Stegostoma tigrinum: one gene and its partner. The protein of the gene in region 2 interacts with the protein of the main gene of each other region in a pairwise test. Links are inferred from orthologs where the notes say so. Each region holds a gene or a part of one and is shown on either strand. Other genes may lie near its edges.

Region 1 (7,692 bases), on a different chromosome or scaffold from region 2:
AAAAGCAGCTGCTTCCCTGTTCTGTGCAGTACACTAGAAGTTAATTGATGTAACTAATGCATGTTAAAAAAGTGAGACAGCCACTTATATAATTTAGCACTTGTCATAGTGATTTTAAGGTACTTCAAATTACGATATTTCTTGCTTTACCATAACTCAACATATCCAACTTTTTTTTTGTTAAATTAACACCACCATTCTTCTCTCAAAGACTCCTAATTCCACACAATATCTCACTTTGACAGTGACTACTCCTGGCCTCGGCGAGTGCCACTTTGTGATTGGTAAATTGGAGTTATATGAAAACCTGCTCTAAAGGCTCTGCTCACGTTTTGACACTTGATACAATATTTACTACAGCAGCTGAGACAATCCACAACTTTCCAAATAAGACAACTTACAGTATTCTTCAAATTAAAATCAATTCTCCCTGCACTGATTTTTTTTTTAATAGGCAAATAGACCAAGAGACAGGGTTGAAATATCACCTCCGTTGAGAATGGAGTCAAGCATGCTGCAGAATGTTCTCTTGTGACAAAAAAAATCAAAAGATTTCTGAATCCTATATCAGGCTAAACTCAAATATATCCGAGACTCCAAAAAATATCAGTTCATTTTGTACTTGCTTGCTGCTATGGAAAATTAACACCTAACAAGTTAGATGTAGAGGGGCAATTGGATCCAATCTAATTTGTGAACGTTCTGATTGAAATAACACCATGGAGGCCAGTATCCTGTCACTACGTCATCCTTTAATTTGCATGTAGAGAGGCCTTGACACCATCTTGGAGCCAGCTCTCAGAGTGAACAGAACCTTTGATTTTCCTATTTATATCTGTCAGCTGGCCATCTGATTGGGCCAGATTTAACAGCCCCAATCAGGGAACTTATATTCTATGAGGTCTAACTGGCTCACCTTCTTACAATCACTACACCTTTCCCCTTCTGAATCCAAGGACTTTATCAGTTCTTCTTTTTGTAGTTCCTCCTGGCACATTTTAGCACCAGGTACGACTCCGCTAATTCTTCCTTTGATATGAGCAGCACATAAGGCACAGTAGCTCACCTCTTGCACCCAGAGCATCTCAAAAGAAATTCATTCTCTTCTTCAGGCATCAAGTCTTCAAGGCAGGGGCATCCACCATATCCATCTCAGATTCCAAGATATCTTCAAATCTCCATAAAGCTAGAGATCCCATGGAAAGGCAATCAAGGAGCCTGGCACATTTTGCTCCTGCACTGAGTTTGCAACATTCCTATGTTTTACTTGCCTGATCAGGGCTGTTGCACCTACCTGATCTTTACATGCCACTGGTTCTGACCTCACACTGACAATGCCTCTTACCCATGCATGGCTGTTCCTGTGATTCCTAACCAAAATTTGACTCCTGAAGTAAACTGTCTCACTGGCTTAGCAGAGCCTTGTGATCAGAACTGCAGGGCATAGTTTAAAAATAAGGGCTTCCCATTTAAAACAGAGATGAGAAGGAATTTATTCACTGGAATTTTCTTCCCCAGCAAAGCTAGTCTTTGAATCTTTTTGAATTTATTATATAGAAGAGAGTGAAGGATTACAGGGATTACACAGCAAGCAAGATATTACTGAATGGCAAAGCAAATTCAATTCAATCTCAAGGGTTGAATGACTTACTCCTGTAGCTGTGTCTTATGACCTATGTTCCTGTTGCTGTTTCACTCTCACCGTCCCCCCAGGTCTGGGAAGATCGGATTTAACCTAGTGTGGAGTCTTCTCCCTATTAGAAACTTTGCCGGAACTTTCCCTGTAGTTGCATGAGGTGTGATCCTATAATCAAATAAGAACCAGGTCAGTGTGGCATCTAGTGAAGCTGTAGGCTGTGCTTTAAGTCTGTCTTCACAATTTGGACTGCTGTTTCTGCCAGACCATTGGATGATGGATGATATGGAGCTGTAAAATGCTATTCGACTTGAGGAAATACACAAATTTCCTGCTGGTAAACGATGGCCCGGTATCCGTGATCAATACTTCTGGGAGTCCATGTATTGCAAACAATGTGCACAGTTTTTCAATCATCATCAGGTTTGACAAATTAACTCCTGTGTGTCTCCAGTGGCTTTGTGTGGGCATCCACAATGGCTATGAACATTGAGCCCATGGAAGAACCTGCATAGTTGACATATTACAAAGTCGAGGCTTTACCTGGCCATCTGTTGGTAATTTTTGTCCTAACCACTCCTGGCACCGCAAACGCATGTACGTCTGCATCTAATCCTGGCCACTAGAGTTCTTGCCAACGTCTTTATTTTGGAAACTTCTGGATGACCCTGATGGAATTCAGCTAACTGTTGTCTTCAGATTCAGAGGGGGAGGAATGTGATGATTACCAAACTGACAACCAACAGAACCTCAGAGAAAAATCAAATTAACTGTGGATGCTGCAAATCAGGAATAAAAACAGAAGTTGCTGGAAAAGCTCAACAAGCATGGCAACATCTGTGAAGGCGAAGGCAAAATCTGAAGTTCTGAGGAAGGGTCACGAGACCCAAAACATTAACTCTGTTTTTGTCGTCACAGTTGCTGCTGAGCTTTACCAACAACTTCTGCTTTAGCACCTCAGAAAATATGAGTTTCCTGGTTGGGGTGTTAACCTAGTCCGATCAGGGAGCCTTGGCTAAACAGAAATGTGAGACTTTCTACTCTCTTTGCAGGTACTGGATCAGTGCCAAGAAATGTCCACGTGTAAGTGTAACGGGTGACTTGGCGATGGAGTACTGGCCTCTGTGGAGTTATTTCAGCTTAATGAAAAGCGGAAGTGACAGTTGACGAGGAGAAGGAGACGGCAAGCAAAGCATACGGAAAATAAAGAGGTAGAAAGTGAAAGTTATTAAGGGAAAAAGACAATTCTAGAATCCCACCTTTACCTTCATCACGAACACCAAGTAACAACGTGGCGGCGGCGGCCAGGCCGGCAAACGGCGGTTGGGACCTCCCGCCACCACCGCTGCCCCGCCCTCACTATGGCCACGCCCATAACCCCAAATGACCCCGCCCCACTCCCCACAGCGGCCCACTCTCTACTACGTCCCTCGCACAACTCCACCCCGCCCACTTCTGCATGCCACCACGCCCACCTCTCAGGCGTTCGCCCCGTCGAATCCTCACCACCTTTGCTCCGCTTCCTTATTTCAATCCCGGACCCTTCATTCTACACCACACCCCGTCCATGTGCCCCCCCCCGAACTAATGTCCCGTCTCCATTTTCCTCGGGGCCCTTCGCCTTGCTCGCTCCCGCCACCTTGTCTTGTCCCGTACCCCAGCCTCGATCAGGCCCCGCCTCCCCTGACCGGCCCCGCCCCTTCCACCACGGCTCCGCCTCCACCACCTCGATGCGCCCCCTCCTCCACGGCCCAGCCCCGCCCCTGCCGCCTCGGCCCCGGATGCACCTGTGCCTTTGCGGACAGTTGTGCGTCCAGTCGATGTTTTTGCCAAGGAGCTGATGTCGTTTGGCAGTCTCTGGGTGTTAGGGAGGCAGGGCCTGGTGCTAGTTAGGGTGACCGAGTTTCCAATGAGAAGATAATAAAATGTGAGGCTGAATGAACACAGCAGGCCAAGCAGCATCTCAGGAGCACAAAAGCTGACGTTTCGGCCCTAGACCCTTCATCAGAGAGGGGGATGGGGTGAGGGAACTGGAATAAATAGGGAGAGAGGGGGAGGCGGACCGAAGATGGAGAGTAAAGAAGATAGGTGGAGAGAGTTTCCAATGAGTTAAAGTTAGCAGAATGTGGAGGACTGGGTAGAAGCGCGTTTTGATTGGTCATTCCTAGAGTTAACAGGAAGAATGAGGATTTCAGCATCAGATCTGTGGCTCAGTTGGTGTTACAGAGGTGGAATTAAACAGTCTCAGTGCGAAGAGATGGTCAAGAGCTCACAGGAAGGGTTAAGTATAACATGACATGTTTACAAGCAGTTTTTTTCTTTATTCTTTTGTGGAATGTGTGCGTCATTTCTTGCTCATCTCAAATTGAATCTTCACCTCAGTGGAAAGGGCAGATAAGAGCAACCACATTGGCCAGTCTGCATAAGGCAGCTATTTTCCTTCGTAAAGGGCATTATTGAGCCCTGGGTTTTTAAGACAATCGATAATGGTTTCCTGGTCACTGTTACAGATGGCTAGCTTTGTTTTCAGGATTTATTAATTGAATTCCAATTCCAAGGCAGGGTTGAACCTGTGTTCTCAGAGTGTTAGCTTGGGCCTCTGGATTATTTGTCGAGTGACATTACCAATACCTTCACACCACATATGATCAAATTAGGAGCAGACACTTGTGGACTGCTCTGCCATTTGATATAATCGTAACTGTTCTCATTATGTCCTCAACTCTACTGTCAACCCCGTTTACCCTTTGACTCACTTGTTAACCAGAATCTATCTAACTCAGCCTTAAAAAATTTCAATGACCCTGTCTCTACTGGGAACGAAACTTCACACACTGACAGCTGTCATTCTGTTAACCGTTATGTTCTGCTAAGTTGAGCCAACTTAGATAAGTCCACGAGCCCAGTAGGCCAACTGGTAGTGAACATTTCTCCTCATCTCTTTCTTTGAAGACCCCCTCATTTGTAAAATGTTCTATATTTTAGTTTTGAAAGTACAGTCCCAAAAAGTGATAAATGTTTATATGTCACCAGATACCATTTGGAGAGTTTTCTACAGGTGCCCATATCAATTTTTAATGCGTGTAATGATGCTTTCAAATGTGTTTGTCAACAACACCACAAACCAATGCCTTTGTTCATACACCTTTTAAGAGAAAATTCCTTCTGAAATTTTCCTGCAATGTGAAGTTGGCAATTTTCACAAAGTCTGCAAAGAAACTTGATTCATAATAAAAAAAAATACAATTTGATTTTTCACTGGATCAGCTGAAACACTATTAGCTTGCAGCTGATCTCAGGCAGTGGCTATTTACAACAGTGAAACTTTGAGGCTTTTAAAGAACCCAAAGCTGGAATACAGCTCATCACAATCTGGTGCAATTTATGGAACAATGCTCCTGTCCCTAGAAACCAATCTTTTAGTAAAATGTTTAAATTTCAGAAAGATTAGTCAACATATTCATCATGGCTCTAACTTGCACCATGTAACTATCAAATATGATGTTGAAATGCCAGTGTTGGACTGAGGTGGACAAGGTCAAAACTCATATGACACCAGGTTATAGTCCAACACATTTATTTGAAAATGGAAGCTTGCATTTTCGAATAAACCTGTTGGACTATAAAAATAACAAAAGAACTGTGGATGCTGTAAAACAGGAACAAAAGCAAAGTTGCTGGAAAAGCTCAGCAGGTCTGGCAGCATCTGTGAGGGAGAAAACAGAGTTAACTTTTCGGGTCTGGTGATCCTTCTTCAGACCCTTTTGAGGAATGGTCACCAGACACTGGCCTCACAGCTTAGTCTATTTTGGCTCAACTTAGGAAAACAGAATGATTAATGGAATGAGAACAAACACAGTGCCATTGGGAACAAAAATAGAAGTTCCTGGAAAAGCTCAGCAGGCCTGGCAGCATCTGTGAAGAAAAATCAGAGTTAATGCTTTGCGTCCGGATCATTAGAAATAGAAAATGCTGTCCCTTTGCACTTTAGATTTCTAAATTTTTTCCCCGTTTAGAAAATAGTCCACAACTCTATTCTTCCTACTAAAGTGCATGACTTCATCCTTTCTTGCTGTTTCATTCTACAATACAGCTTTGGGATTGATTCATTGAATGATTGCTTTATTGTCACATTTAAAAGTGTAAAATGGTTATAACAAATGTTACAGTTAGATCTGCTGTCGGGAGCTCGCAAGATTTCATCCGGTGTTGGTATCATCTTGCATTGATGAGCAATCTCATCAGCCACGGTCATTTAAGATAACAAAGTGTGAAGCTGGATGAACACAGCAGGCCAAGCAGCATCTCAGGAGCTAAAATGCTGACGTTTCAGGCCTAGACCCTTCGTCAGAGCTCTCTGATGAAGGGTCTAGGCCTGAAACGTCAGCCTTTGTGCTCCTGAGATGCTGCTTGGCCTGCTGTGTTCATCCAGCCTCACACTTTGTTATCTTGGATTCTCCAGCACCTGCAGTTCCCATTATTTCTGTCACGGTCATTTCCTTTCTTTGTCTAATTAACGCATGTAACATATCTAAACTCCTGCTTCTTAACAAATTCATTAAACTAAAAGAATTAGTTTAATTTGGGTTAGCTGTGATCACAAAACTCAGTGAAGGTGGCTAGGTAGTGTCCACCATCTTTCTCCTGTATCTCACTGTTGCATGAGGTGTACTCCAATATAGGACATTAAAAGCGAGTGTAATTTACGGACGGGTTTTGTGAACCAGGGCTGCTTATGGGGATGCTGTTTGCCTGGGCATTGGCCCTCTCTCCCTGGAAAACATGGATGTGCACAGCCTAATTGTGCAGGTGATCAGCAATCAACACCTCTACCCTACAACCCCCATTATATGTCACGTGTGTATTGTCAAGATCCATTTGACTGTAATGCGTTCTGTCGATGAATTTCCTTTTTTTTCGCTAGTCTGGCTTGTGGAGTGCCCATGTGAGCAATGTGTACTGGTTGGTGCTTGGCATCTGTGGACAGTACACCAGTCTGTTGCCATATTAGAGACAGAAAGGGATAGAATCATAGAATCCCTACAATGTGGATGCGGGCCATTTGGGCCATCATGTCGACACCAACCCTCCGAAGACCACCTCACCCTGTCGCCGTAACCCTGCATTTCCCATAATTAATCCACCTAGCCTGCACAACCCTGGACTCTATGGGCAATTTTGCGTAGCCAATCCATCTAATTTGCACATCTTTGGACTGTGGGAGGAAACCAGAGCATCCGGAGGAAACCCACGTAGACACAGGGAAAGTGTGCAAACTCCACACAGACAGCTGCCCAAGAGTGGAAATGAACCCAGGCTCCTCTCTCTGTGAAGCAGCAGAGCTGACCACTGTGCTGACTTATGAGGGTAGTGTGTAAAAATGTCATTGAGGCAGGAGATCAGCCATGATCTAGTTGAATGGTGGAGTTCGCTTGATGGCCTGAATAGCCTACTCTTGCTCCTATGTTCCTATGTCATAGAGTGGGCAGGCCACAAAAGATGATGGGGAGGCAAAGCCCTGGTGGTGTTATCCCCAGGCTATTTTCACAGAAGCACAGGTAATGTTCTGAGGACATGAGTTCAAGTCCTGCAATGATAGATGGTGGAATTTGAATTCAATTGAAAAAAAAACTGGAATTAATAATCTAATGATAAACATGAAACCATTGGTGATAGTTGTGGGAAACCTGCCTGTATTATGGCTGCCCTTCAGGGAAGGAACCTGCTTCCCTAACTTGTCATGGCCAACATGTGACTCTTACTCCACAGTGATGTGATTGACTCTTAACTGCAGTCTGGACAATTAGAGATGTGTGATAAACCTAGATAGCAAGTGGTTCCCACATTTGTGAGTAAACATTGAAAAAAAGTGGAATCTCCATTGTTTTAAACAAAAATTCTAATTTTTGTTTGCATTGCTTGAGGATGGAAAATGGGTGCGGAAGACAATAGGGGAGGGGAGGGTCATCTGTGAAAATAGTAACACAGTTAAAATTGCTGCCCTTCCCCAGTCAGAGCTGCCAGATAGAAATTACAGCAGAATTTGGCTCTACACA
Region 2 (7,557 bases):
AGTGGGCATAGGGTGACGGTGGTCCCTGCACCCACTATCCCCACGCACGTGCCCCCCCCCCCCCCCCCCCCCAAACTGTAGCGCAAATTCTGTCCCCTCCACATTTCACTTCCGCTCTTATGCACAGTCGTCTAGACTCAAAATTGTTAACTTGCTCTGCCCCTCTCCATGAATGCTTAATGATCTGCCGTGATTGCCAGTATTTGTTGTTTTCAGTTGAGAGTCCAGCATCTGCAGTAACACGCTCCTATGTTTTGGATAGACTAACTTATTGATTAACAAAGGCATCAAGGGGCTTGCAGAATAACCAGGGAAGTGGTTGATGCCACTGTTATTTTAGCCATGATCTTGTAGCATGGTGGAGCAGGTTCAAAGAGCAAATGGCCTACTTCCCCTTGTGTACATAATATCCAATGTGTCACATTTGAATCTGTTTTGTATATTACATCGGTCAAGATTTCCCCACTTGCTTAACCTATCTACATTCCTCTGTACACCCTCTGTCATACCCCCCCCATGCATTTTTAATGTAATCCGAAAACCTGGCTTGAGAACTTCATTCCTTTATCTAAGTTATTCATATATATTGTAAATAACTGGGCCCCAGCACTGATCTCTGTGCTGCTAGTTAGGAGTTGCCATCCTGAAAATGATGCTGTTTTCCCAACCCTTCTATTAGATGGTCAATCCTATATTCATTTTAATATACTTCAACAACATGAGTTCCAATCAGAGCTTAGTAATAGATGATGATGAGTCTAGTCAAGCAGTCTGAAGAATAGTTTAGATCCAGAAACTGAGAATATGAAGGATACAGTTGATGCAGCTTTTTCTGTTTACATGCACATAAACTTGATAGATTTGAGCCTTCCATAACATTTGCAGTAGATTTGAAGAGATTATGCAGAAATGTGCATTCTTGCTGACAACTGAGCATGGAACTCAGATCAGGTTCTGCTGATTTGAGGATCAGGCTAAATCCTAGAAGTAGAGCAGTTGAAATTATTTTGAGGAGGACAGAACTTTGAGGGATTTTGTGATTTGAGGTTGATGACCTATAGGCTATAAGGTGTGATCTAATAGCTAATATTGTTTCTGGGTTTAAAAATATAAATAGTATTTGCCTTGACTCTTGTACAGTGAAAAATTATTTTGACTTGAGCTGTGGAATTTTCTGGCTTCATTTATTCAATAAAATGAGTAGGATTTTTGATCTTCTTTTAGAGAAAAGATCACGAAAACATTACATCTTAGGGATTCAGTAGTGAGGAAAATTACAATTTGCATTCAAAGAAGCAGTAAAATCCATAATTTTTTTTTACACAAAGGGTTTTGGGAGCAAAGTTACTGGTGTTTTTTTTTTTGCTTTCGTGGAACCAAAGAACAAGGCCTGCAGGTATACTTGTGGTTTGGGCAGATAGCATGGAGAAAATAGATGCCTTGCCATATCCCCTGCCAATATAATGAAACAAAAGATTAGTATGGAGGGACACAAATCACTATATAAACACAATTGTAAGTATGTATATAAAATTCATTATGGGTTAAGATAGAATTTTTATAACCAGTCTTACGAGTGCTGAATACAGCTATTTCACAAATGCAACCACTATTTTAGAAGTCTAAGGTAATGTATTTGGGGAAGGCTAATAAAGCGAGAACATGTACAATAAAAGACAGGATATTGATAATTATAGAGGAATAGTGGGAGCTTGGAAAGCATAACCAGACTCTTGAAAGTGGCTAATCAGGTACATAAGGCGGTCAAGAAGGCGCATGGAACACTTGCATTTAAAAGCCAAAACACAATAGACAAAAACCTGGTCTGGAGAATTTTGGTAGTGAGTAAAGATGATAAAGTCAAAGGATTACATAGAGGCTATATTGAGAGATGAGGTTTTGAGGTACAATTAAAAGGGTAAAATAAAGAATAAATGCTGAAAATAAGTAATATGTTGGGCAGCATTTAGAAGATAGAACATTACAGCACAGTGAGGGTCGAAGGGTCTGTAATGTTGTGCCCACCTGTCATACCAATTGAAGCCCATCTACCCTACGCTTTTACATGTACATCTATATGCTTATCCAATGACTACTTAAATGTACCTAAAGTTGGTGAATCTACTACCGTTGCAGGCAAAGCGTTCCATTCCCTGACTGAGTAAAGAAACTACCTCTGACATCTGTCCTATATCTTTCACCCCTCAATTTAAAGCTATGCTCGCCATCACTATTCTAGGAAAAAGGGTCTCCCTATCCACCCTATCTAACCCTCTGATTATTTTATACGTCTCAATTAATTCACCTCTCAACCTTCTTCTCTAACGAAAACAGCCTCAAGTCCCTCCCTCAGCCTTTCATTGTAAGGCCTTCCCTCCAGACCAGGCAACATCCTAGTAAATCTCCTCTGCACCCTTTCCAAAGCTTCCACATCCTTCTTATAATGCGGTGACCAGAACTGTACGCAATACTCCAAGTGCGGCCGCACCAGGGTTTTGCACAGCTGCAGCATAATGTCTTGGTTCCGGAACTCGATCCCTCTATTAACAAAAGCGAAAACACTGTATGCCACCTTAACAACCCTGTCAACCTGGGTGGCAACTTTCAAGGATCCATGTACATGGACGCCGAGATCTCTCTGCTCATCTATACTACCAAGAATCCTACCATTAGCCCAGTACTTTGCCTTCAGGTTACTCCTACCACAGTGCATCACCTCACACTTGTCTGCATTAAATACCATTTGCCACCTCTCAGCCCAGCTCTGCAGCTTATCTATGTCTCTCTGCAACCTACAGCATCCTTCGTCACTATCCACAACTCCACCGACCTTAGTGTCGTCCGCAAATTTACTAACCCATCCTTCTATGCCCTCATCCAGGTCATTTATAAAAATGACAAACAGCAGTGGACCCAACACCGACCCTTGTGATACACCACGAGTAGCTGGTCTACAGGATGAACGTTTCCCATCAACTACCACCCTCTGTCTTCTTTCAGCCAGCCAATTTCCAATCCAAACTGCTGTATCTCCCACAATCCCATTTGTGGAATCTCATTAGCTGTAATGCAACTAACGGCATTCGGTGACTGTGAAAAGCACCAGATAAATTCAATACTATTTTACTTCTTTCAAGACAACTTTAACCAGTATCCTCTACTTCATAATTCAAATTCTTTCTTCCATCAAGAAAAGGCATACAGAGTTTCACTCTTACGAAAATCCTTTAGACAAGGATTACCAATAAATGAAAATGATTTTTCAATGTTATTCATACAAATTAAAATTGCAGATGAGGTTTCTGGAAATTTCACATTATATGCTTTTCAATTTTTCCAGTCCTAATTTTATCACTTGTTTTGTTTTCAAAAGCAGTATCAGGGAAACTATAATTTCACCCTTTTGTGTGCCAATGGTACTTGGCATTACTGCCTCACTCTTGTGTTTGATTTTACAACTATTCCATCACTGTCTGATCTACAGTTTGACATCTAATTGCAGAAAATGAAGTGTTTTTGAAGTCAGTTGAAGACCAAAGTCATTCTACTAGCCATCCAGCAAAATTTCTCCAGTTTACTGCTTGATTACAACTCCTTTCTCAATCCCAACCTCGCACTGCCCATTTTGCTAGTTGCTGAATTTTACTTCAAGTTTCATCGAGACCAATTGCTACTATCTGGAAAATATCAATTCTGTTCCCCTCAACAATGAAATGGTTGTTTATGTCTAAACTGAATTCAGAATTTACACTTCTAAACCTTTTCTTACCATCGCGTTGCTCCACCGAACCCAAACTTCAAATGGCCCAGAACGTTATTGACATTCAGTTCTCTACGCTTCGAGTGAATCATAACCTTGATCGCAATATACCCCCCATTCCTCTGTGCCCAGCGCAAAATCTTCCAATTTGTGTATAAATTCATATCTGGTCTCATTTCTCCTCACCTCTGCACCCTCCTTTAAGCTCTAAATTCAGTTCTCAATATGCAGGTTATTCCTTATTGCATTTTACCATCACCAGCGGCATTACCTCCACCCAGTGAACGTACTTGCACAAGTTGGAATGGATTCAGTTGCATTCGATTTCGAATAAAAGCCTTTCCTCGTAAAAGATCATTGGTGGTATATTCTGAGGGTGGAGATTTAGCAAAGTGGGGACCAGAAAACCTGTCACCCTATTAGTGTCTGAATTCTCATCAAGGCTGTGATTGGATACAATGTTTTTAAAAGGTTCTTTTCTATACAAAGATGAGTAGCAGTAACAACTCGTTTGACTCTTGAGAAATTAGGATGTTGCTTTCATCCAGGGGCGGCGGCTTGAAGAGCGGGACAGGCGCGTTTATCATCTTTCCACGCGTGTTCCACACTAATAAAGAGACACGCATCTGCAATCCTGAAAATGAGTGCCTTTGCGGCACAGCATGTTGATTAGTCTCAATTGTTATGTTGGTGGCCTGTCTGTGAGAGCGTTGCCGATGTTGACACAGTAGTGATGGCTGCCATGCGGGATGGCTGGATGTTGGTGCGTGCTGAGCTCGGTGAGCTCCCGAGGAGACCGGTCACCATGGTTACCGCATTGACGGGCTGCACCAGTCGGGAGCGATGGTCATGTGCTGAGGTAAAATGGCGTCTCGGAGGATGTAGGGTGGTCTGGAATATTTGTAATTTCACAGTATTCATTCTGTCTGTGGTTCACGGTTCGTGGCTGATTTATGGTATTTGTTTTCTTTATTAGTTTTAATTTTAGAAAACGGGCTGGGATAAAAACCTGTAGCATTTCTTGTTTTATTCGTATGGACTGTCCTTTATTTGGAATAAAAGGTATTTTTACTTAACAAGTTAGGAGGTGGTGTCTTAAATGTGTAATTAATGGTTCATTTATTTTTCCTATGTATAGCAGAAGGGTTGAAAGTGTCCTAAATCGTCTATGAGCTTGGTGGCTGACTGGGTGTGAAATAGTGGCTGGGCATTATAGCAGTCCGCAAAGGACCGGATTTCCAGAAATAATGGCTTTACCTGTGTTTGGTAAGTTGCACCGACGTAATTTAATACAAAGCAATTTGATGCTCTCAGTACCTTGTTGAAGAGGAATCTGTTAGAGCTGCACTGCGGAGTGATTGTTTTATTTTATGATTGGGAATTGCGAGAGTTCGGTGTGGACAGAAGTCTGGTTATTGTGTTTGTTGCTCTTGGTGAAGGGCGGATGCTTCAAAATACGATATGCCACCAAATTTTATTAAGAGTTAAACCAAAGTTTGTTTTGCTTTGCTTATGTAAATATTATATTCAGAGAACAGTTTTGCTTCATAAACAGTCCTTTTAGTGGAAATCAACATTAATCCTGAACTGGATTATTTTGCAGGAGTAAAATCATCTATTTTAATCTGTACAAAATAAGATAATGGTACAAAGTATATAGGCATTGTTGGTTACAATAAAACTGAACTGTTATAAATATTGATAATGTGGTTAAAATGTACTTATTATTTGTAAAACAGTGGTAGAGTTTGATTTGCGAGAGGAAGAGGATACGGATTATTTGTATTAATTCATTGAGCAGATGTTGATTCTACAGATTTGGCAAATAACTAAAAATACATCAGGTTGAGTTATCCTGTGACCTGTGTTAGAACATAGAATATAGAACAATGCAGTGCAGAACAGGCCCTTCGGCCCTCAATGTTGCGCCAACCTGTAAACTAATCTAAGCCCACTCCCCCTACGTGATCCCATCATCATCCATATGCTTATCCAATGACTGTTTAAATGCCCCTAATGTGGCTGAATTAACTACATTGGCAGGCAGGGCATTCCATGCCCTTACCACTCTGAGTAAAGAACCTGCCCCTGACATCTGTCTTAAATCTATCACCCCTCAATTTGCAGCTATGCCCCCTCCTACAAGCCGACGTCATCATCCTCGGAAAAAGACTCTCACTGTCCACTCTATCTAATCCTCTGATCATCTTGTATGTCTCTATTAAATCTCCTCTAAACCTACTTCTGTCCAATGAGAACAGACCCAAGTCCCTCACCGTTTCCTCATAAGAGCTTCGCTCCAGACCAGGCAACATCCTGGTAAATCTCCTCTGCAACTTTTCCAATGCTTCCACATCCTTCCTGTAATGGGGCGACCAGAACTGCGCGCAATATTCCAAGTGAGGCCGCACTAACATTTTGTACAGTTGCAGCATGACATCACGGCTCCAGAACTCAATCCCTCTACCAATAAAACCCAGCTCCGTTTGCCTTCTTAACAGCACTATCAACCTGGGCGGCAACTTTCAGGGCTCTATGTACATGGACACCAAGATCCCTCTGCACATCCACACTACCAAGAATCTTTCCAATGACCCAGTATTCTGCCTTACTATTATTCTTCCCAAAGTGAATCACCTCATATTTATCCCCATTGAACTCCATTTGCAACCTTTCAGCCCAATTCTGCAGTTTATCCAAGTCTCCCTGCAACCTGCAACATTCTTCCACACTGTCCACCACTCCACCGACTTTAGTGTCATCTGCAAACTTACTATTCCATCCACCTATGCCCGCGTCCAAGTCATTTATAAGAATGACAAAACAGCAGTGGCCCCAAAACTGATCCTTGAGGCACACCACTTGTAACCAGACCCCAGGCTGTATATTTTCCATCAACCACCACTCGATGCCTTCTAACAGAAAACCAGTTTCTAATCCAAACTGCTAAATCTCCCTCAATCCCATGCCTCTGCGTTCTCTCCAATAGCCTACCATGTGGAACCTTGCCAAAGGCTTTACTGAAACCCATGTACACCACATCAACTGCCCTACCCTCATCCACATGCTTGGTCACCTTCTCAAAACTCAGTGAGGTTTGTGAGACATGACCTGCCTTTGACGAATCCATGTTGACTATTCCAATCAAATTGTTGCTAGCTAGATGATTATAAATCCTATCCCTCATAATCCTTTCCAAAACTTTTCCTACAACAGACGTAAGGCTCACTGGTCTATAATTACCTGGTCATCTCTACTGCCCTTCTTGAACAAGGGCACAAGATTTGCAATCCTCCAGTCCTCTGGTGCTAAACCTGTAGACAATGTGGACTCAAAGATCAAGGCCAAAGGCTCCGCCGCCACCTCCCTAGCTTCCCAGACAATCCTCAGAAAAATCCCATCCAGCCCGGTGGATTTATCTACCTTCACACCTAGAATTGATAACACCTCCTCCTTACTAACCTCAATCCTTTCAATTCTAATAACCCATAACTCAGTCTTCTCCTCTACAATATTCTCCTTTTCTTGAGTGAAAACAGATGAGTTAGTTTATACTTGTAAGATTGGCATGAACATAAATGTGAAGATAGTGACTCTTAGATTTTAAATCAGTTACTTGGTGAACACTGATTTTTTTTCGTCTCTTTTTATTCTTTTATGGAATTTAGACTTTAGTGGTAAGGCCAGCATTTATTGGCTATTTCTAATTACTCTTGAACTATGTGGCTTGCTAGGCTACTTGCTGGGTAATTAAGAGTCAACAGTATTGTGTGTAGGGAATCCCATTTCGGCCAAAC

The links. The genes of interacting proteins can lie anywhere in the genome.
Region 1: the proteins of chn1 (region 2) and hemk1 interact in binary tests that used the Homo sapiens proteins (3 or more experiments, as listed by UniProt). The two-hybrid records come from large-scale screens. The link is inferred for Stegostoma tigrinum from reciprocal best matches to the Homo sapiens genes CHN1 and HEMK1.

The regions. Positions count from the first base shown.
Region 1 is NC_081364.1:10,136,086-10,143,777, forward strand, and holds the start of hemk1 (MTRF1L release factor glutamine methyltransferase), read right to left. Parts: upstream 3,003-7,692; 5' UTR 2,902-3,002; intron 1-2,901. UniProt on the Homo sapiens protein: N5-glutamine methyltransferase responsible for the methylation of the glutamine residue in the universally conserved GGQ motif of the mitochondrial translation release factors MTRF1, MTRF1L, MRPL58/ICT1 and MTRFR.
Region 2 is NC_081360.1:47,220,142-47,227,698, forward strand, and holds the start of chn1 (N-chimaerin), read left to right. Parts: upstream 1-4,542; 5' UTR 4,543-4,619; exon of another isoform or gene 4,620-4,716; intron 4,717-4,898; 5' UTR 4,899-5,007; coding exon 5,008-5,026; intron 5,027-7,557. UniProt on the Homo sapiens protein: GTPase-activating protein for p21-rac and a phorbol ester receptor. Involved in the assembly of neuronal locomotor circuits as a direct effector of EPHA4 in axon guidance.